3 linked regions of the Arabidopsis thaliana genome follow. The protein of the gene in region 2 interacts with the protein of the main gene of each other region in a pairwise test. Each region holds a gene or a part of one and is shown on either strand. Other genes may lie near its edges. The genes, in order: EER5, SAC3A and SAC3B.

Region 1 (6,656 bases), 8.0 Mb from region 2:
CGCTATGGAAACCAATTCCTTCTGATGTTTGGTGTAACCATGATTAGCTCCTTCCACAATCTCCAGCTTATGATTCGGTATAACCTTTGCAAACTCCTTAGCATCTTCCCCAGGTACCACGGTATCATCCGAACCATGAACTGTCAAAACTTTGCATTGTTTATCAATATTGAGACAAGCTTGATGCATATCAGTGTTTAACCTATCCATTAAAGACTCTTGAGTAACACGAAAACAAGATTTGCCCTCTGTAGCATCAATAAACCCCTGTTCCTTAATCTTTTCTATATAACCATCTCCGAGACGCACATCATTCTTAAGATCAAAACGTCCAGAGATATTGACGACATTGCGGATATAATCGGGAAACTTGGAAGCATAGAGAAGAACGACATCACCACCTTTACTATGACCAAGAATGACAGGAACTAGACGGTTCATGATGTTAGAGGAGGACAAGTGTTGAATAACGTAATGCAGATCATCCTCTGCTTCACTGTTGAAGTTACCATAATAGAAAGTTCCTTCACTATCTCCGTTACCAGAGAAATCGAAACGAAAAGAGCTGATTTTTTCTTTCTCCAAAGCTGTAGCCACGTTTTTGAGAATCTTGTTGGTCTTGTCCGATCTAAAGCCATGGCATAAGACCACAACTTCTTTTGATCCAGTTTCGTGAAGCAGACCCACGAGCTTCTCGTTGCGGCGGTTCGGAATCACGATCTTCGTTGGCTTCATCGTCTTTTTGCTTCAGGTGGTAATCGTAGAGAAGAAAACAATGAGGCCCCCTATTGATGTAAAAAGAATAAGGTAATGGAAGTATGGAACTGGAACTCTCGCCAAAGATCAAATTGCATTTTTCTGTGGAGATACGAATGAGACTCGTAATCACTTTTTCTTTTTTTTGCTAAACTAAAACTCGTAATCACTTATTCTTCTCATGTCGATATTCAGTGGAAATTTGGACCTTACTCGTAAGTAGACTCCTCAACCATGGTGAAAACTCCACAGTTTTAAAGTCACATTTCTATTGTAAAAACAGTTTTTGTTTTTTGTTTGAATGAATTTTACACACAATTAGAAAATAAAAAGTGTTTGTTGATACAACAAAAAAAATAACACGTGAAGACTTATGAGCTAACAGGCTTCCCGTTTAGTTTAGGGAAAGGATCTTGCTTGCTTAGAACTACCACTTTGCTCTTGTGAGCTAAATAACCTTTCACAAGGTTTTTGTATATCAATATCGTCATTATACATTCCACCTGCAAATACAGTATTATTTTGACAACTGTGAGTTTATAGAAGATTTCAATTTTAGAAGAAGTCAAAAGCAATGAATGGGATGGTATTGTAGAACAAACCTCGTCCAGATCCATGTCCATATCTAGCCATCTTAGTGCTTTGGCAATCCCTTCAAGCTTCAGCTGGTGAGCTCTCGCTGGATCACTCAGCTTCTGGTTTATATAACTGAAACATTGATAATAATAAGAGTTATAAACTCAAGAATCTTGGATGGTATCATAGCTTGTCTTTGCTTACATTTTCTTCATGAGTCTCTGGTAGACTTGGAGCTCTAGCTTTTCCAAGACAAGATACACACCCGACCTCAAGAACCTGTATAAAAGAAGAGTATTAGATCGAGATATTAAGTTGTTCGGTGATAGAATCAAAATACTCATCATATAGAGACTTGCACAACTCTACTCTCGACCCAACTGCAAATCCTAACCCCTAGACAAATCCAGAACATCCCAACTCTTTCTGCCCCAATTTTCTTTTAACCTGTTAGCTCTCTACCTAAGAACCAGGTGTTACTGACCTGTCAGCAGAGCTATATAATCCACTACAAGCAGCCTATACTAATTCCAATACTCATGCTCTAGAGTATCCACAAGGACTCTATCATTTGGATTAGATGAGAAAAGCAAGATATCGAAAGAAATACATACCGATCTTCATGTTCTTGAAGAGCATGCCGGAGAAGCCTTAGATCACCCTTTCTCAGAGCTTGCACAATCTTTGTGTACTGGACACGTAGAGAAATAGGATTAAGAGAGATATGATATCACTCAGCAGATGCGAAATAAGTTTTGACATAGATTCGAAGAAAATTTTATAGAACAACAGAAAAGTCGTTACCTCATGCAGATTATAATTTCGCAGGAGCTCATCTTTTGGTATAATTCCTAAAGAAAGCTTCACCGGTACCAAATACTTTAATATCATCCTGATTCACATAAGGCCACATTAGCTGATTAAGCAACGCAATGCAAGAGTAAGGTAATCACAGAGTAAAACCAGAATCAGACCTTATATTTCGTTCTCTTTTGGGGTTGCAATTTTGCAAGGCATATGATAGCTTTGTATCAGCCTGCAAGATCCAAAAAAAGAGATTAAATGTTACTATCAATATTTGGATTGACACTACGAAATGAACTGTGATGGTAAGAAAAAATCTCTTAGTGACTCACAGCAGGAAAATTTTCGTTGAAGACTTCTAATCGGCCGGTATAATACATGTATGTAACCTGGTGTTTGCGAAGAATAAACAGAAGATAATAAGTAACCGAATAAGGAGGCCAAAAACTAAAACTGTTTGCAGAGAACTGCGCCAGACCTTATCTCTTCTTGGAAACTCCTCAAAGTCAAATATCCGAGCAGTTTCGATACTTCTTATTACACTTCGACAAAGATTGACGGTTCCAAGCTAAAATACAAAATTGGGGATACCTGTTTAGTACTCCATTTAATGGTTAAATCATAAATATCAAACTGTTGCCAGAAAGCATATCACCTTAAAGTAGGTCTTGAACAATTGGCAAGTCACATATAATGCTCCGACTCGTTTTGGACCTTTCCCCTATAGTTTAAAACTACATAAGGAGCCGGAAAAAATATTGAACACAAATATAAACTAATATTCCTGAAGATATATAGATAGATCAAAGGGAAAACTTACAGCAAGAACTCCAAAAACTTTCATGAGAAGAGACCCAGCTGCTTTTAATTTCTCTGGAGACTTTCCATTAGAAGTTAAATCTTTATCAGCCTGCAATTCCATGTGGAAAAATCATGCTTTCAGAACTGACTCCTCGACACAATGAAACCAGACAAGGTTAAGATTTTGAAAAAGGGATATACAAATGAGATACTACCTTTTCCGCAAGAACTCGAATTTCATAACAAACTACATACAGAGCTTCCAATGCCCAAGCAGATTCCCAATTACGAAACTCCTGAACAAATGCACTGCACATATAGAATCCATCAGATATCAGACATTGTGAACAGACAAAAAAAAAAGCTTATCACCCTGAAATCATATTAGACATCAATAGAGGAGCAGAGAGGAACAAGAAGACTTTACTTGGCAAACTTATCGAAAGCAAGGTATGCTTCGACTAGATTCCCAACTCGGTAACTTTGTAGAGAACGAAACACATGAGCCAGAATCTCGCCATATTCAGAGAATCTATCAGACTGTCTAATCAAACTGCTAGAATCCTGTATCAGTCAAAGAAAAGAAAACTCAAAGGATTCAGCACTTTCACAGCTCTCTACATATAAATAAAAACCCTAAATCTAAAATCCATACTCATAAACTCAAACATAGACATAGAGTGTTCACTACAACAACTCAATAGGAGACACTTTCACGGCCTAAATTCATACTCATTGGTGAAGCAGGAGGACCCAATTGGAAAATCATACTCATTAGTGAAGTAGGAGGATCCTAGATTGACATTGATTGAACCTAAAAGATACACACTTTGCTAACATAAAGATAATGTTCCTAGTGTTTTGAGCCCTAAATTCAGAAATTCATACTCATTGGTGAAGTAGGAGGACCCAATTAGAAAATCATACTCTTAAGGATCTTACATTGAATCGATTTAACCTAAAAGTTACAAACTTTGCTAACATAAAAACCATGCTCCTAGTGTTCACAATTCATACGAGAACCCAATCGGAACATATCAGAAGCATCCTGGATTTGAAATCGAACCTAACTTTACCAATTTACAAGGATCATGCCACTAATCACAGGAACATACTCCAAGCTGCTAATTTGAATCATGGGTCTCGATTTAACAGAGAATATATGTACCTGGAAGACGTTGAGTGCGTCGGCGAGTGAGAGAAGAGGTGGAGAATTGGAAGAGAAAGAGAGGAGACGGCAAAGTGTAGAAGAGTCTTGGTACGAAACGGCGTCGCAGAATCGGTTTAGGTATTCAGTGATTCTCCGGTGAGCTTCACCCATACTAACGTACGCCATTGTCACCTTCTTCGTCTGCGTCTTCCTTATTCTTTGAGAGAGACACGAAATCAAATAAGTCGCCAGGAAAAAAAAGGAAATAACGGAGTTGAGAAAAACGACGGCGTTTGGTAATTAACTAAATTGTTACTACGTACTAGTCTTTTCTGGTATTAGACTTATTGACATATGTTAGTTGGGCCATTTAAGGCCCATATGAAATACAATCATTAAAATGTTTGAAAATTTATTTGTAAAGGATTTGAAAATATCATTAGTGTTGGAAGGATTTTAAAGTTCCTGTAATCGGTGGTACTGATCATGAATTTTTTTTAGAGTTTTTAAGTTCATATAATCGTTTTATAGATCATGATTAATTTGCTTTAAGGTTTTTTAAGTTCATGTAATCGTCCGTAATGTTGACATCTGTATGTAAATATGTCTTCTTAGCCCGATGGTGACGTGAGGAACTTTCTTGAAGGGACATGAAATCAATTTATACCATGCATATAACTCAACAAGTTGCCAAAAACTCGAAGAAATGAATATAATCAACTTGTCAAAAGTAATTAACTGATCAAATAAATCACTTGTTTCCAAATGTGATTTATACTTTCACACTTCTATATATTCCCATTGATATTCCCCTTCTTTCATAGTTAGCAAAGGCCTCTACTACATGTACATGATAAATAAATAAATAAAAATCACGCTAATCATATAATTATCAATATATTTTATTCTTGAACACACAATTAATAGAAATTTTGAGTTGAGAGAAGTCAATCCAGGATTAGTATTTATGTGTAATGCTAAAAGTTGAAGATAACGAGAAACTTGAGAGGTTTTTAAGGTTCCTACTTTATTTTTGGTATGAAGGTTCCTACTAAAATATGCTCTTATATATCATTTTATTTAAAAAGCATTCCATTTGAAACTAATCTAAAAATCTTTAGATTCATTGTTCACCACTCATAGTAAGAGTTGCATGTGGACCATCTTATATTCTCTACTTTCTCATACTTCGTATTTGGAACCTTTATTCCAACAAATTCAATGTGTAAAGCCATCATTACGTTCATTTATTTTTGCCTTTTTGCGTACATAAAAGAAACATCATAACTTGACATGTAAAAAAAAAAATCATTGATTCGATTTGAGACTTTTGAAAACCTTGTCAATTTTATAAAATTTGGCCGATTTGATCTAATCCACATAATCCATCCCTTATAGACGAAATTAAATTTTCAAAGGGGATATTAAAAAAAAATATCAAAAAATGGAAAAATTTAATATCAACAATTTTTTTTTTAACAATACTCCATAAACATAATAATTGTATTAAATTTAATTTTTTAATACAATAAACATTTTTAACAAATTTAAAAATATAAACTTTTCTTATTCTCTATGTGTTATCCATCACATCAATTTCAACACTTTTTTTTTTTCCGTCAATTTCAACACTTTTAAGAATTAAAAAGTCTCATTTTCTTTTTATTCCTTTTTTTTTAAAATTCCTTTATTTTTCGGATAATTAAATGATTCTCTAAGCTTCATAGCAATGAAACACTTTGAATTCGCATTTCGGCGATATAGTCTCTAATAACAACCTCGCCGTGTGCTCTTGCCTCACCACCGCATCTTCTTTCTCCACCAGAACCGCTCCGACGATCCTCTCGTATCCTCCTCCACCACCATTAGCCACATAATCAACCAACGCCGCCTGTACTGGTCCCATACTAGGATTATACGCCGCCGATTCCATATACCAACCTCTGTACACTTTCCCGTCACAATCCACCAGCGAAACTCCCGATGGACATAAACTATACGGCGCGTACGATCTATTCGCCGCCGCTAAAGCCGTTTGTTTCAAATCGGCGGATGAATCGGTGTTTCCGTTACAAATCGAATCCAGATCTGAGATTTTGAGATGGTTATCGTGAGATTCGAGAAGAAGAGGATGATCTTTCCCGAGAAGATCGTCGGGACCGAATCTGTGTGGCAAGAAGCTTCCGAGACGTAAGAATCCGTCTGAATCGGCGGCGGAATCGGAATCGGCGGAGTTGTTTGGATCGGTGATAAGGATTTTGATTTCAGGTGCGTCGCGAATTTCTTGGAGGAATTGACGGCAATGGCCACATGGTGCGGCGGAGACGGCGAAGAAATTGAGATGACGTTCACCGTTGAGTGTGAGATTGGTGACGAGGAACTGTTCGGCGTGGATTGAGTGGTGGAGAGGGAGATTTGGGAATTCGACATTGACGCCTAAGAAGATCCGACCTGATGATCCGAGTCCGACGACTGCGACGTTGAATTTCGAAATCGGAGTTCGAGCGTAGGATTGTGCTGGTTTGACTAGCGACGGGAGGAGCTGAATGACGGAAACGCCGAGTTGTTT
Region 2 (8,666 bases):
ATGAGAGGGTAAATGAAGTGAAGAACCTCTTTGGGTTGTTGAATGATTTTCCCATATTCAGTTGTTACGACTTGGCCGTCTTCCTTCACATACTCGAATTTGACGTAAGTGATACGATTGATATCTTGTCCTACATACACTTTTCTTACACCCTCATATACATCATCGTCCCATTCACGCCCTCCTTCACCACCGTAGCCTGTCAACTTCCGGTAGATTTTCGCCATTTTGTATTTTTTCAAATACTGTAAAATGAATTTTTTAACTAAATTATCCAAATCCAAATAAAGTGTATATTCAAGCTTTATAATGTTTACTAAGCCGGGATCCCGGATCTGTGATTGGTGATACACTAGCCTATTGAATTGCATAGCAAGACATAGAGAGCAATGATCAACTAATGAGTACCTATTTACGAAACTAAAGTTGTAATTTGTATAAACAAATCAGAACTTGAGAGAGAGAGAAGAGAGAACCTGTAAATTCTTGATCTTATTCAGAATGAAATTAAGGAACTATCAACTATGTCTATTTATTGATACAATTTGGAACACGTTTTTGTTGATTCCAATAATTTAGTTATACTTGTAAGTTGTAACTAAATCATGATTGACCTTTTTCTGTTCCCTTTACTTTTCCTTCAAAAAGAATATGAGAAGGAAAACATTTTACAAGGCCAAACCAATCCCCATAATTTGTAATTTAAGTCATATTAGAAGAGAAATAGCCAAACTAACCCAAAATATATTAGAGATCTCAAGAGCATCCTGGCTGCATGTTATCATTCTGGACGATATGTCACGAGACGAGAGGTTCTAACAAATAAAGCAATAGATGATTTTGATAAGAGTCCAATAATACTAGCATATTACAAGTTGTCAGATGGAGACATCCATGATTGTAATGAACAGAGGAACAAAACAATTTTGTTTCACAAAGAAATTTTGTTATAATATTTTTCATATACTGTTTACATCGTCGTCCCATTCACGTCCTCCTTCATCACCGCAAAGTGCCAACTTCCGCTAGATCCTCATCCATTTTGAATCACCAAATTAATCCTTAAAAATGAAAAAAAAACAAACTAAACTATTTGTTAGTCCAAGTATGAATGCATAGCTTTATAATCATTTCCTAAGCTGGATATGTGATTGGTAATAAACTAATACTACCATGACAACATTGTACCCTATTCATATACATCGCAATAAAATACCAAAATTTTCCACTAATCGCAGATAGAGGAATCAACTAATGCATGGTAGGGTAAATATTTATAGTGTGATGTTGATAGCTCTATTATAGGTGTACTATATAAATCAATGACGATATAAGTATACTGTATAGTATTAAACAAGCCCCACACAACAAACTGAAATTGCATCCACATATTCATTTCTCACGTTTATTTCATCTATATATCCTACCCTACTTGCTCATAAACTTTCCTCTCTTGTCTTAAACTTTTAACGTTACAAAGTCACAGCCACAATATTCTATCCTCACCGATATAATAATCACCGCAACAGTATAATCTTACCTTGATATCTATTATATGGATTAAAACCCGATTTCTTACTAAACATTTGACACTTTCGCGTAGAACATAATCTGTACATACGAATTTCGAATTCATATATATATATATATATATATATATATATGTTGGATAATGATTGTTTTCTCGAATATTGTGTCGATTTATAGTGTAGTCATATTTTAGATAGCTACTCCGTTCATCACCAATAGCTTGTTTCTATGGTTAATTTCTTTCACTTATTAGATTTATCTCAACCAATCACTCAATTAGTTTCTAGAGATTGTTGTGATTGCTATACTACATGTTAAGCACTTTTTATTTTTGCCGGATTTCTTGGCCAAAAGGGTTGGCGATAGAAGCAACTACATTAAATTCATGACCTAAGCTAAATTACATGTAACGATATACAATACAAGATTTGTCTAAACTAAACATTGATTCAACCAAAACTTATATAGACTATATATTTAACCCAAATACTTATCATATAAATGTTTTCTTTTTTGACGTCAACACAACCGTAAACATTCGAAATCTTATATATTTAATTATTTACTATGCTTGTTATTTCATTTGTCGACGTTGTTTTTTTTTTTTGCATTCTTCAGATCCACTAAGAAAAGGCAAGTCCGAAAGATAATGGGCCCAATTAGTGGCTATATAAAAACCCGACCCGGAAAGACTAAACCTGATCCGCAACCGAACCGACCCGACGACGCTAGTATACCGTAAAAATTTGACAATCTTCGTCTCCGGCACAACAAAATTGTTCTTCTTCGGCAAGATTCCTCGATTTTCTCCGTGTTCTGTAATTTCCGATAGATTTTGACAACTCTCTTTGATTGTTTCCCTTTAGCTTTTTATTTTTATCTGCCTTTTTTTTTTTTGTTGTTGTTCCGGTTCTATTCGTTTCCTTTTGTTACCTTGTTTTTGGTTTTGATCTCAAATCCTGCTCTGCTCTACTATCTTCAATTCGATTCTTCATCCGAACGAAGAAGACACAAATTGGAGCTTCACTGGTACATATTCTTGACGCTTTATCTCTGATTTGCTATTTAGGGCTTTTCAATGAATGAATTTAGTTTTTCTGCTATGTTCATTGGGAAGTAAGTTCAATCGTATGTGTGATGATTTTTCAGGACGTTGATGATAAAGCATGAATCACGGAGGGAACACTCAGGCCGTAGCACCAATGGACCCTAATTCCATTGAGGTAATTAACAATCTCTTGCGCCTTCTCTTTCTTTTAAGCTTAAATTTTTCCAATTTGCAGATTTATTTAGTCTTTATATGCAAGTGAAATTTCGTGCATTGGTTCAATTTTTGCGAATTGAATTTGTTTATTTTAGTTTGCTCCAGATTTAACTTGGTAGATATGAAAGTTATGCTTGTTGTTAGTTCACCATTGTAATGGTTAGAGGAATTTTGCATGTCAGTATGTTTATGCAGCAGAAAAAAAGTGACTTTGATTCTAGGCTCCGTATGTGAACTCTTGGAACATTTCAGAAAATCAGTTTCTGCTTTAAGAATAGACCTATCATCAATTCTGTGGAGCCGTATGATTTTCACTAGTAATATGTTATGAATACAGCTCAATGATGCAAAGTACAACATTTTCTATTAGGTGTTAGGTATTGTTACGAAACTTAGCTGCTGATCACTTACTTCATGGAAATTTGCAGTTTTATTGTTTGATTCAATCAGATTGATTTGAGACTGTGGGAGGCTTTAGCATCCTAATGTAGTCTTTATCTGAGATGACATTTCTGTTTGTTGTTTGTCTATGTTTCTTTTCACTCTTCAACTTTTTGTTTATGTCTACTTGTTAAATGAAGATTCTCAGACCTTGGCCAGTACTAATGTTTTTTCTTTTATGCAGAATCGATATGGTGTTGATGGAAGCCAAACACAGAAATATTCATATCAATACTCAACTGGGTCTGAAAGTGCCCCATGGACAGGGCATTCTGTTGAAAATCAGGCTGTGGAGAATGGGAACTATTCAAATTCAAACTATTACCATCCACAGCCGACAGGGCCAGCCACAGGCAATGTGCAAGAGATACCGAATACTGTATCCTTCACTATCTCATCGACGTCCGGAACTGCAAATGTGGCACAAGATTATAGTGGATATACGCCATACCAGACCTCTTCTGACCCACACAACTATTCAAACACGGGATATTCCAATTACTACAGTGGCTATCAACAGCAACCTAGCCAGTCATATCCTCAGCCTGTAGGGGCTTATCAAAACACAGGTGCTCCTCAGCCTCTTTCCTCATTTCAGAATCCAGGATCTTATGCTGGGACTCCAAGTTATTCAGGAACTTACTACAATCCTGCTGATTATCAGACTGCTGGAGGTTACCAAAGTACGAACTATAACAACCAAACGGCTGGAAGTTACCCAAGTACAAATTACAGCAATCAGACTCCTGCTTCGAACCAGGGAAACTATACGGATTACACCTCAAACCCTTATCAAAATTATACTCCTGATGCTGCTAACACACATAGCTCTACTATTGCGACCACACCACCTGTACATTATCAACAGAACTACCAACAATGGACAGAATATTACAGCCAAACAGAAGTCCCCTGTGCCCCAGGCACAGAAAAGCTGTCTACCCCAACCACAAGTGCATATAGTCAGAGCTTTCCAGTTCCTGGTGTTACTAGTGAAATGCCTGCTTCAAATAGTCAGCCTGCCCCGTCTTATGTCCAACCTTGGAGGCCGGAAACTGACTCATCCCATCCACCTTCTCAACAGGTTCAGATATTACTTTCATGAGGGAGTAGAGTAAATTTGCGCCCTTAAGCTTATTTGAGTTTAGAATGCTTTTCTGCTTTCAGCTACTTGATAAAATGTGTGTTATTGTCCTTATAAATCAACTAAGTTGGGAAAAGAGTGATAGTAACTGACCTGTTAGCTACCAAGCAATACTGCATAGAGTCAATTCTTAAATGTTTTATTTGCAGACAGTTTAGACATGATCTCTGATTGCTTTCTTTCATGGGGGTCCTTTTTATTGAATACTAACTTAGTAATCATTTTATCATCATTCTCTCAGCCTGGTGCAGCTGTTAGTACATCTAATGATACTTACTGGATGCATCAAGCACCAAGTCTGCAAGCTCATCATCCTGTTCCACCTCAAAATAATTACCAGAGTCCTCTGGAGACAAAACCTTTATACGAGACTCCCTTTCAGGGTCATCAGAGAGCTACATATCCTCAAGAGATGAACTCCCAGTCTTCCTTTCACCAGGCACCGTTAGGCTATCGCCAGCCTACTCAGACAGCACCGTTAGTGGATTCACAAAGGGTAAGCAAAGTACAGATTCCAACTAACCCTAGAATTGCTTCAAACTTGCCATCAGGTTTTACCAAAATGGATAAAGATAGTACAGCAGCCAGTGCAGCCCAAGCACCTGCATATGTTAGTGTTTCAATGCCAAAGCCTAAAGACCATACCACTGCTATGTCTGACGTAAGAATCCTTTATTCAAATCTTGATGACCTAGCAAATGAAGTAGATATTAAATGTTGGCCACCATAAATTTGTGTGTTGAGTAATTGTTTCTTTCTCACAATTGAGTAATTGACATTGGAAACAAATAATGCCGATGCTTGTAGCCTGGAACCTTCCCAAAATCGCTTCGTGGGTTTGTTGAGAGGGCTTTTGCCCGCTGCAAAGATGATAAAGAAAAGGAATCTTGCGAGGTTGCCCTGAGGAAGGTAAATGTTAGTAGGAATTGTAGACGCTCTGGTTGTTGGACTATTGTAGCATGATAGATGATTTTAGTTACACACTCTGCTCATCTTAATATTATTGCAAAATTTGGATGAACTTCTTCAACTTGATCTTTCGAGTAGATTTGTAGTATGTTTAAGATAATTTCATGCCTTTTATGGAAGAAATCATATAGCAGTTATTTGAATACCATGTTAATTTATGGTTGCTTTGCATTGCTAATGCTTATTTTTGTATCTCTAGATTGTCAAAAAAGCAAAGGAGGATAATACTCTTTATACTCGAGATTGGGATACTGAGCCTCTCTCAACTGTCACGACCACAAATGTGACTAACTCTGAGTACGACCTTTTTTCCTCCATCCACTGCTGCCTGCATGATCTATAACTTTCGTTCTTCTATATGATATGTCTGGAACACTTACTTCATATGTTTTGCCCACTAAGTTTTACACTGTGCCATAGGTCAAGCTCCGCTCAGCTCTCTTCGTTACAAAATAAGAGCCCAACAAGACGACCCAAAAGTAGATGGGAGCCGTTGGTGGAAGGAAAACCTTTTGTGAAGCCAGCTTCAACTTTCAGCAGTGCTGTTAAATTTGGAGTTTGGAATCACCAAAATGAAAACAACAAAAAGGTTAACCAATCTCTTCCTTATTATTTATTAATGTCTGGTTGAAGGAATTGAAAAGAAGGCATTTAGCTGTTGGTTTAATGAGGCATTTAGCAGTTGGTCTAATGTTTTAGCTGTTAGAACTCGGTTTTTGCAGTCGTTCTGATAATCGGAAATTTTGCAGAGCTCTGAGAGTTTTCAAAAGGTGGATGCTGCCACTGGCTTCAAGCCCACTTATTCTGGGCAAAATTCTGCAAAAAAAAGTTTCCAGCGGCCTGTCAAGCGACAGCGTTTTTCTGGTGGTGCAGCTACTGCCATTGATGATGAGGCATCTAGTGATAGTGACAAGGATTTGACACCTTACTATTCCAGTGCAATGGCACTTGCTGGTTCTGCCGAGGAAAAGAAGCGACGTGATAGTCGTTCCAAGCGTTTTGAAAAAATTCAAGGCCACAGCCGAGGGAATGATCTTACAAAACCTAAGAATGCAAATGTTGGAAATTTGCATTCTAGAAGAGCCACTGCCTTGAGGCTTAGCAAAGTTTTTGATGAAAGTGGCAGCAGAGCTGTGGAAGACATTGACTGGGATGCACTAACTGTTAAAGGCACTTGCCAGGAAATTGAGAAACGTTATCTCCGTCTGACTTCTGCGCCAGATCCTGCCACCGTAAATATTACTATCTTATATTCTTATACCTAGTATTCTTTTTGACACCATGACTGATATTTTTGATTGACTTATTTTCAGGTAAGACCAGAGGATGTTTTGGAAAAAGCTCTGATAATGGTTCAGGATTCTCAAAAGAATTATCTTTTTAAATGTGATCAACTAAAGTCTATTCGCCAAGACCTCACAGTACAACGGATACACAATCATTTAACAGCTAAGGTACATAACTGACTTCCAATAATGTCGAGTGTTATTGCATGTAGGATTCATTTCCTGTTGGAACGTTTATCTTATTTACACCCAATTAGCATGTTTATAATGGTTCCATGTGCAATCTCAATTTCAGGTTTATGAAACACATGCTAGATTAGCTTTGGAGGCAGGGGATTTACCTGAGTATAATCAGGTTGGTACGCTAGCATAGATTGATAGATCAATCAGAATTTCTAGTTCAAATTCGGTATCAAGCACTTTTGTCTTTTTCGTAATTTAAAGAGTATCAACCACTGCTAGAATTTCACTGGTCTCTCATTTTCTAAAAAATAAAAAAGCAACATAAAGTGTTGAATCAGAGAGAAACTTTGCAAAAGGGAGCATAGTTCTGATGACTGGTTACTATGGATTGTGGCTTTTGTTTGCATTGATTCTGCAATATAATGATACCGTTCCATCAAGTCTTGTAAAATACATCTGTTGTCTATTCCTGAGGAGACTATAACTCTTAGGGTATGTATAGCCTTGCTAAATTGATTTCTATTTTTTTTTTTGTTACAGTGCCTGTCACAGTTAAAAACTCTTTATGCGGAAGGTGTAGAAGGATGCTCTCTGGAGTTTGCTGCGTACAGTCTACTCTATATTACTCTACACTCTAACAACAACCGAGAACTGCTATCATCCATGTCCAGGTTAGTAGTTGTAAAGTCCCATCTCTGGGCTCCTTTTAAGCATGATGCATTCATGGTTCATGGGAATTTTTTTTATAAATTAAGGTTTTGTAGAAATATCAGAATATGGTTTGCTACACAATTTCTTTGAGTTAGTAATGGAATTATTAATGTTCTGTCCACCTACCTGATAGTTGAGTTTTTGTAACATCTCTTCCTACCAGTGCAAAGAGGTTACTACTACCTCTTTGAATTGGGTTTGTATGCATGAGATTGAGTAATTTTGTGACCTCTGTTTTGAAGATTATCCGAAGAAGATAAGAAGGATGAAGCAGTTAGACATGCTCTTTCAGTTCGTGCAGCTGTCACATCAGGGAATTATGTTATGTTCTTCAGACTCTACAAGACTGCACCAAACATGAATAGTTGCCTCATGGGTAAGGGTCATATGATACATGAAAACTCTCTTGATATATTTAAACAATTGAATGAGTAGATATGTAAAGATATGGTGAAATTGTTATGTTTGCAGATCTCTATGTGGAGAAGATGCGTTACAAGGCTGTGAATTTTATGTCTCGTAGTTGTCGTCCTACAATCCCGGTCTCATACATAGTCCAAGTGTTGGGATTTACTGGTGCTGCAAGCGAAGGTACTGATGAAAAGGAGACCGATGGTATGGAGGACTGTTTGGAATGGCTAAAAACTCATGGTGCTAACATCATTACTGACAGCAACGGAGATATGCTTCTTGATACCAAGGTAAGTCTTCTTTTGCATTTGCCATATGTTTGTTATGAAACTTGTAGATCCTTATTTTCAAGATATGGATTGAGAACTGGTTGTGTTATTCCTTGTGCAGGCGACATCAACGAGTCTCTTCATGCCAGAACCCGAAGACGCAGTTGCTCATGGAGATCGAAATCTAGATGTCAATGATTTTTTTACACGTACATGATGAAATATTTTTAATGTTTGTTATAGTCTGATGGAAACAGAAAAAGCAAAATCGAAGTTCATCATATCTTTTGATCTTAAGGAGACCAATGAAGATAATCCAAGGCTCTCTGGCTTCATCATCATCATTATCTGCTCACACACACAATCTCAGGTATGACATTAGGTTTATAATACTTGATAGTCTGTTAGTAGGAAACGTTTGGAAGATAAGTCAAATTTGTTTGTAAAGACGTTTTTGT
Region 3 (5,744 bases), on a different chromosome or scaffold from region 2:
GCAAAGAGTCAATACTGCGTGATTAAATATTGTACCCTTCTGTACAATCTTGAGAAGGGAAAGAGTTTCGCGGGATATCCTCTTCAATTGGATATACAGGTGGAGATCTCGTCCTTTTTGTTGCAGGTGAACTGTTTGTCTTACGCGCATTATTGAAACTATTTACAGAGGAGGGCTGTCCAGGAAATTGAGAATCTGAACTTCTTGAAAGTGTATATGACTTTGTGCCTGACGTAGGTGGAGATGTCGAAAACCTATCACAGAAACAGCATGCTTAACTAGGAGGAAGCTCAAAGGCACATCAAACCAGATAGAGAAAAGTAGATTTGTTGCAATAGCATTAAGATAAAGCTGCAGGAGAAGTAAGCATGACTTCAAAGGCTAGTAGCAGAAAAATTTCCAAGCAACCATCTAAGTTTAAGGTGAATACGCTCATAAGCCGATTTGCTAAAGATAAAGTTTCTTAAGCCGATTTGCTAACGATAAAGTTTCTTAGGATTGTAACTCTATTCTATAATCGTGATTTCTCCTGCCATTCATACGTACACGTATGGCACAGAGTGGGTGAATAAAACATAATAAGCTTTAGAATGTACGATGAGATTCATGCTGTCTACCTTTGAGAGTCATGTTGAGACAATATGGGGTCATCTCCAAGGGGTTTATCAGAAGGTGCTACAGCCGAAGACTTTCTTCTAGTAGCTTCCTGAATTTCAGCTACTTCATGTGCATAGGGGAATGACGAGTTTCCGGTTTGTTCTTGATGAATCAACTGATTGGGATTGCTCCTCGACCTCACCGGATTATTCTCCGCAGAAGACGGAGAGCGCCTACACAAACATGAGAAAAGGTTCCAGGAAATAAGTTTCAAAAGTTAGTGAGAGGATAGAACAATAAATTAGTATAAAGATCAAGGAGCAAAGACACAGGTATGGTTCAAATCATTATCCACAAAGAGTAAAGACACCACAAAATGAAATATTTTATGACCTTTTTAAAACCAATCAAAACCAACAGCGAAAAGAGAATGAGAAACGAAAACATTATGACACTGACAAGAGGATAAAAAGCTCACATCCAAGTTCGGCTAGAAAGTGGCTGAAAACCATCTACCAAGTTTCCATTCTCAAAACCTGATACTGGCGATTGATTTCTTCGAGAAAACCCCATATTCTGGTCAGGAAGAATATCTGACCGACTGCAACAAAAATTGAGAATTTTATAGACCGATATTAGTTACATCAAAAAAACCAGGATATCAGTAAACACCATGGCCATGTCTATGACATCTCATTCATACCACCTAGGCCACACAACAAACTGATAAAATCTGAAAGAGTAAGATACATGATGCAGAACAAGGAAGGTGTAAACTCCCACAAGGACAGATGTTAAAAGGTTAAGGATAAGATAGGGATACAAAACAGACAGAATGTTTATTTCAGAAAGATCCTGCTGGCATAAATGACCTTGATCTAAAGGAAATGGCATAAACGACCTTTTTCTTTTTGAATCTTGTGATCGACCAATCTCAACAGCATCAGTTCCCATTCTGGAAAGAATGTGAGATGTAGCAGGTGGAGACGTGGCTCGACTATGTTCACCATGATCTTTCAAGAAATTCCTTGATCCATCGTGCCCATATTGAGGATTTAAATTAGGCCTGTGAGGAAAAATGAAGCAGGTAAATTCAGCTAAGTCGTTAAGAAAAATCCAGCAGCTTGCTTATTAAAGGCTATAAGCCAAATCCAGCGATAATGATCTCTTTAGAGCTTCAAAGCCGCTGCCATAGTAAGCCCTTATGTATTAGGCAGAGAAACTTATAGCACTCCGCCACACTCTACTTTCTTCCTACTGCTATAATTTCAATTGCAGAAACTGAAAGCATTTGAGATGTGTGATTAACACAGCCGCATATGAGTAATGACACTCTTCTTAGTCAAAATATGTCACGTACACTTTTACCTCTGAACTCCAGGAAATTGGTAAGGTCTCACAGAGGGGCTTGTACGTGAAGCTTCTGGACCCCATGCTATTCCATTGAAAGGTTCTGGGATCCTGAAAAACATAGCATCAAAGTGTTCTTATAACTTTCTCGGCGTAAAAATTAGTGCAACATATAGAAGATTCAAGCAGAAGTTTTACAAAAAGAATCAAAGCCAAAGAAAACAGAAAATTTGGTTTATCCCATCTTCACTGTTTTGGGTTCCCGAAGATCCTTTACAGGTATAAGGAGTGAAAAAAAAAAAAGAGAGCCATAATAGTAAGTTATCTGACCTTTGAATTCCACCAGGTTGGTAAGGTTGTCCTGAGGAGGGTGATGGATTTTGAAAAGCCGACGGAGATGGTATTCTATTAATTGGAGGAACACTGCAAGCAAAAACCATAATAACTTAGGCTAGAATCTAAAGAAGAAGAAAACCCGAGAGTAGACTGAAAAATTAATAATTGAATAAGTAACCAACCTAACATCATCATTAGACACATAGAACTGAAAGAGAAAAGGAATAAAAGCAAGCCATACGATTAAGAATGTCTAACCTTTGAACCCCACCTGGTCGGTAAGGTTTCCCTATAGAGAGCTGAGGGTTTTGAGAAGCCGACAGAGGTGGTGCTCGCTGAATTGAAGGACCACTACAAGCCAAAGTTACGAAAGAAAACTGAGCGAATTTACGAAAGAAAACTACAACAAGTAGCACAATAGGCTCTTCCTATGGAGGCTCAGAAACAACCTAACATACTCGCATAGAAAGAAATCAAAGCTGTAGAGCTAAGGTTAATCTAACCTTCGAATTCCACCAGGTCCAAAAGATTGTCCTGCAAAGGCTGAATGGTTTTGAGACGCCGGTGGTTGAATTGATGAATCACTACAAGCAAATCCAACATTCGCAGTGTGTAAGAATAAAAAAGAAAGGTACAATCTAAGAACAAAAAGCAAAGTAAAGCAACTCGCAGCTTCTCCTAAGGAAGATGAAGAAGCAAAACCCGACTGCCTAAGTGATATAGAACACAATATCATAGAAAATTCAAGATACTTCTCTCATTCTCATGATCCTAAACACTTTAATACAACGATAGCATATATGTAAATTTGACAGTTCAAAAAAATCTCTGAGTATAATAGATCCATAGCGTGAAATGAATCCTAAAAATCTCAAAACTCGAAGAAAAGTCCGATTGAAGCATAGATACATCTATAGAGAATGAAGAGCACACCTAGTGGTTGAAGAAGCACCGAACGGTGTAAACGGCGCTGGCTTAGAGCTCATCGGACCTAAGTCCTTCCCGAAAGGCCTAAACGCCATTCTCTGAGAAAATTCCTTGACTTGATTATCGCTGCCTCTCTTCTAATTCTCCTTCAACCTTCGTTTAATTACGTCGCCGGCTAAAGTCGAAACCGGAGCAAATTGAATTTTCTGTTCTGGTGACGCCTCTTCCGTCCGGCGAGGATTATTTTACGTTTAAAACCAACGACGTCGTTTTTATTTCCGAATTTTATGTTGGGCCTTTTAAGTAACAATAGGCTTATTATGGGCTTTGGTCAAGGAACAAGAATAATTGTTCAACCAAGAAGAACGTGCGCATGTTGTCACCATCTCCCTTGAGCCTCCTTGTTTTAGGTAGAACATCAACTTTTCATGACCGTTGACATTTTTTTTCCCTCTTTATTTTCCGAGAAAAAATAAATAAAATTATCCTCTAGTTTTCGATCTCGATCATCTGGATCCAAGAAATTACTACGATTGCTATAATGTCGATGTCTCGGCTCGGATTGTTGTTGTTCGTCGCTATATTGCTCGTCTTGCTTCAGTCTTCCACTTGTCTGATTAGTTCTCCAAGTTCTATCATCAATCCTTCTAAAGTCAAACAGGTTTCGTCGAAGCCCAGGTTTGATTTTACTCTTTCTCTTGTCTATTTAGTGAGAAATGAAGCAAATTTGGAAACTTTGAACCTCCAACTGTGTGTATTGACTGTTTCTTCAGGGCATTTGTGTATGAAGGTTTTTTGACGGACTTGGAATGTGATCATCTAATCTCTCTTGTGAGTGCGAATTTTGCTCTTTGGGTTTGAGCTCAAATTTGGAAACTTTTTGGCTTAAATGTGCTAGTTTCAGTATCTAATTTTGGTTTTTTTTTTTTTGGGGAAAGGCGAAAGAGAATCTGCAGAGATCTGCGGTTGCTGATAACGATAATGGCGAGAGTCAAGTCAGTGATGTTCGTACCAGCTCCGGCACTTTTATCTCCAAAGGAAAGGTGCAATTTTAATTCGGCACATCAGATCTCATTGAATGGCTTGATTGGAATTGATCTTGATTCTAATTTATGACACTCGACCTCAAGAACTCTGAATCTCTGATGTGATTTCTGATACTAATGGATCTGATAAGTCAAACCCCTCAAGATCTGATGGAAATAGAAATTTTAGAATAATTCAATCCAAAAGTTCACACACATATTGAACTGGTCATCAGAGTTTGATAAAATGATGTTGATAAGTCGAGATCTTAGTAAATTGACCCCAAATTGTGTTGATTTGTGATTGTTGTTTACTACTAAAAAGGTTTTAGGGTGATAGCTAGACATAAATTTACTTCTGTGTATGGATGAAGGATGATGAATGATACTTAGTGATTATTAGGAACAGATTTGAGAAATTTAGATATCTCAGTGTGATTACAATCTTAATGTGAAGCTTCGTTTGTTTAATGACAGGATCCTATTGTTTCCGGTATCGAGGACAAGCTCTCAACATGGACATTTCTCCCAAAAGGTAACTTTAACAATCTGAATGGTTTTTCAATAGTGGTCTCTCTGTTTCACAATGTCAATTGACAAGGAACCTTAACTGTTGTTGAGTTTCTTGAAAGGGTTTTTCAGAAGATATTATTGTTTCCTAAGTTCTTCACTTTGTGGTCACAGAAAACGGGGAAGACCTTCAGGTATTGAGATATGAGCACGGTCAGAAATATGATGCTCACTTTGACTACTTCCACGACAAAGTCAACATTGCCCGTGGTGGACACCGCATAGCAACGGTTCTCTTGTATCTGTCCAATGTCACAAAGGGTGGAGAAACTGTTTTCCCCGATGCACAGGTTTGTTGTTTTTCAGACAATACCACCAATTTCCGCTTACATTTCCACAATTGCTAATCTTGTATTGGTTCTCTATATACGTGGACAAATAGGTCTTTACTCTTTTTCTGTATGATGAATATTTCTGCGCAGGAATTCTCTCGCCGCTCGCTTTCTGAGAATAAAGACGATCTTTCTGATTGTGCAAAGAAAGGAATCGCTGGTGAGCTATATATAAAAGGAATCATGACTTGTTCTTTCCATGTTATCTCTAAGAATGTTTGTGTTTGATATTGGTTGGTAATGTTATTAGTGAAACCGAAGAAAGGGAATGCTCTGTTGTTCTTCAACCTCCAACAAGACGCAATCCCAGACCCCTTTAGCCTTCACGGAGGTTGTCCAGTGATCGAAGGAGAGAAATGGTCGGCTACTAAGTGGATCCACGTGGACTCATTCGATAAGATATTGACACATGATGGTAACTGTACTGACGTAAACGAGAGCTGTGAGAGATGGGCAGTGCTTGGAGAATGTGGAAAGAATCCAGAGTATATGGTTGGAACTCCAGAGATCCCTGGGAATTGCAGACGTAGCTGTAAAGCTTGTTAAAGACTTTAAACTCCTCTTTTTCTCTGTAACATTAAAAGTTTTTTTTTCTTGATCGAGTTTC

The links.
Region 1: the proteins of SAC3A (region 2) and EER5 interact in binary tests that used the Arabidopsis thaliana proteins (3 or more experiments, as listed by UniProt).
Region 3: the proteins of SAC3A (region 2) and SAC3B interact in a two-hybrid assay, tested with the Arabidopsis thaliana proteins (one study listed by BioGRID).

What each region holds. Positions count from the first base shown.
Region 1 is NC_003071.7:8,464,797-8,471,452, forward strand, and holds EER5 (proteasome family protein), read right to left. Parts: upstream 4,350-6,656; 5' UTR 4,274-4,349; coding exon 4,106-4,273; intron 3,502-4,105; coding exon 3,365-3,501; intron 3,276-3,364; exon of another isoform or gene 3,255-3,275; coding exon of another isoform or gene 3,247-3,254; coding exon 3,153-3,246; intron 3,047-3,152; coding exon 2,957-3,046; intron 2,858-2,956; coding exon 2,792-2,857; intron 2,705-2,791; coding exon 2,615-2,704; intron 2,526-2,614; coding exon 2,469-2,525; intron 2,369-2,468; coding exon 2,307-2,368; intron 2,225-2,306; coding exon 2,137-2,224; intron 2,024-2,136; coding exon 1,947-2,023; intron 1,612-1,946; coding exon 1,537-1,611; intron 1,465-1,536; coding exon 1,359-1,464; intron 1,260-1,358; coding exon 1,128-1,259; 3' UTR 894-1,127; downstream 1-893. Other genes in the region: AT2G19550 (alpha/beta-Hydrolases superfamily protein), read right to left, coding at 1-735; CDA1 (cytidine deaminase 1), read right to left, coding at 5,802-6,656. UniProt on the Arabidopsis thaliana protein: Involved in the regulation of ethylene response. Probable TREX-2 component required for nuclear RNA export.
Region 2 is NC_003071.7:16,421,347-16,430,012, forward strand, and holds the start of SAC3A (SAC3/GANP/Nin1/mts3/eIF-3 p25 family), read left to right. Parts: upstream 1-2,194; 5' UTR 2,195-2,559; intron 2,560-2,679; 5' UTR 2,680-2,696; coding exon 2,697-2,753; intron 2,754-3,419; coding exon 3,420-4,319; intron 4,320-4,620; coding exon 4,621-5,040; intron 5,041-5,186; coding exon 5,187-5,288; intron 5,289-5,547; coding exon 5,548-5,645; intron 5,646-5,768; coding exon 5,769-5,937; intron 5,938-6,097; coding exon 6,098-6,580; intron 6,581-6,661; coding exon 6,662-6,802; intron 6,803-6,929; coding exon 6,930-6,989; intron 6,990-7,357; coding exon 7,358-7,488; intron 7,489-7,510; exon of another isoform or gene 7,511-7,694; intron 7,695-7,770; coding exon 7,771-7,904; intron 7,905-7,999; coding exon 8,000-8,229; intron 8,230-8,329; coding exon 8,330-8,425; 3' UTR 8,426-8,666. Other genes in the region: JAL23 (jacalin-related lectin 23), read right to left, coding at 27-371. UniProt on the Arabidopsis thaliana protein: Component of the TREX-2 complex (transcription and export complex 2), a muliprotein complex that functions in docking export-competent ribonucleoprotein particles (mRNPs) to the nuclear entrance of the nuclear pore complex (nuclear basket).
Region 3 is NC_003074.8:1,903,993-1,909,736, forward strand, and holds the start of SAC3B (SAC3/GANP/Nin1/mts3/eIF-3 p25 family), read right to left. Parts: upstream 3,306-5,744; coding exon 3,217-3,305; intron 2,922-3,216; coding exon 2,787-2,921; intron 2,635-2,786; coding exon 2,542-2,634; intron 2,371-2,541; coding exon 2,278-2,370; intron 2,059-2,277; coding exon 1,966-2,058; intron 1,706-1,965; exon of another isoform or gene 1,664-1,705; coding exon 1,499-1,663; intron 1,199-1,498; coding exon 1,076-1,198; intron 831-1,075; coding exon 618-830; intron 255-617; coding exon 36-254; intron 1-35. Other genes in the region: P4H2 (P4H), read left to right, coding at 3,752-3,888, 3,984-4,041, 4,149-4,253, 4,713-4,770, 4,920-5,095, 5,228-5,297, 5,388-5,683. UniProt on the Arabidopsis thaliana protein: Component of the TREX-2 complex (transcription and export complex 2), a muliprotein complex that functions in docking export-competent ribonucleoprotein particles (mRNPs) to the nuclear entrance of the nuclear pore complex (nuclear basket).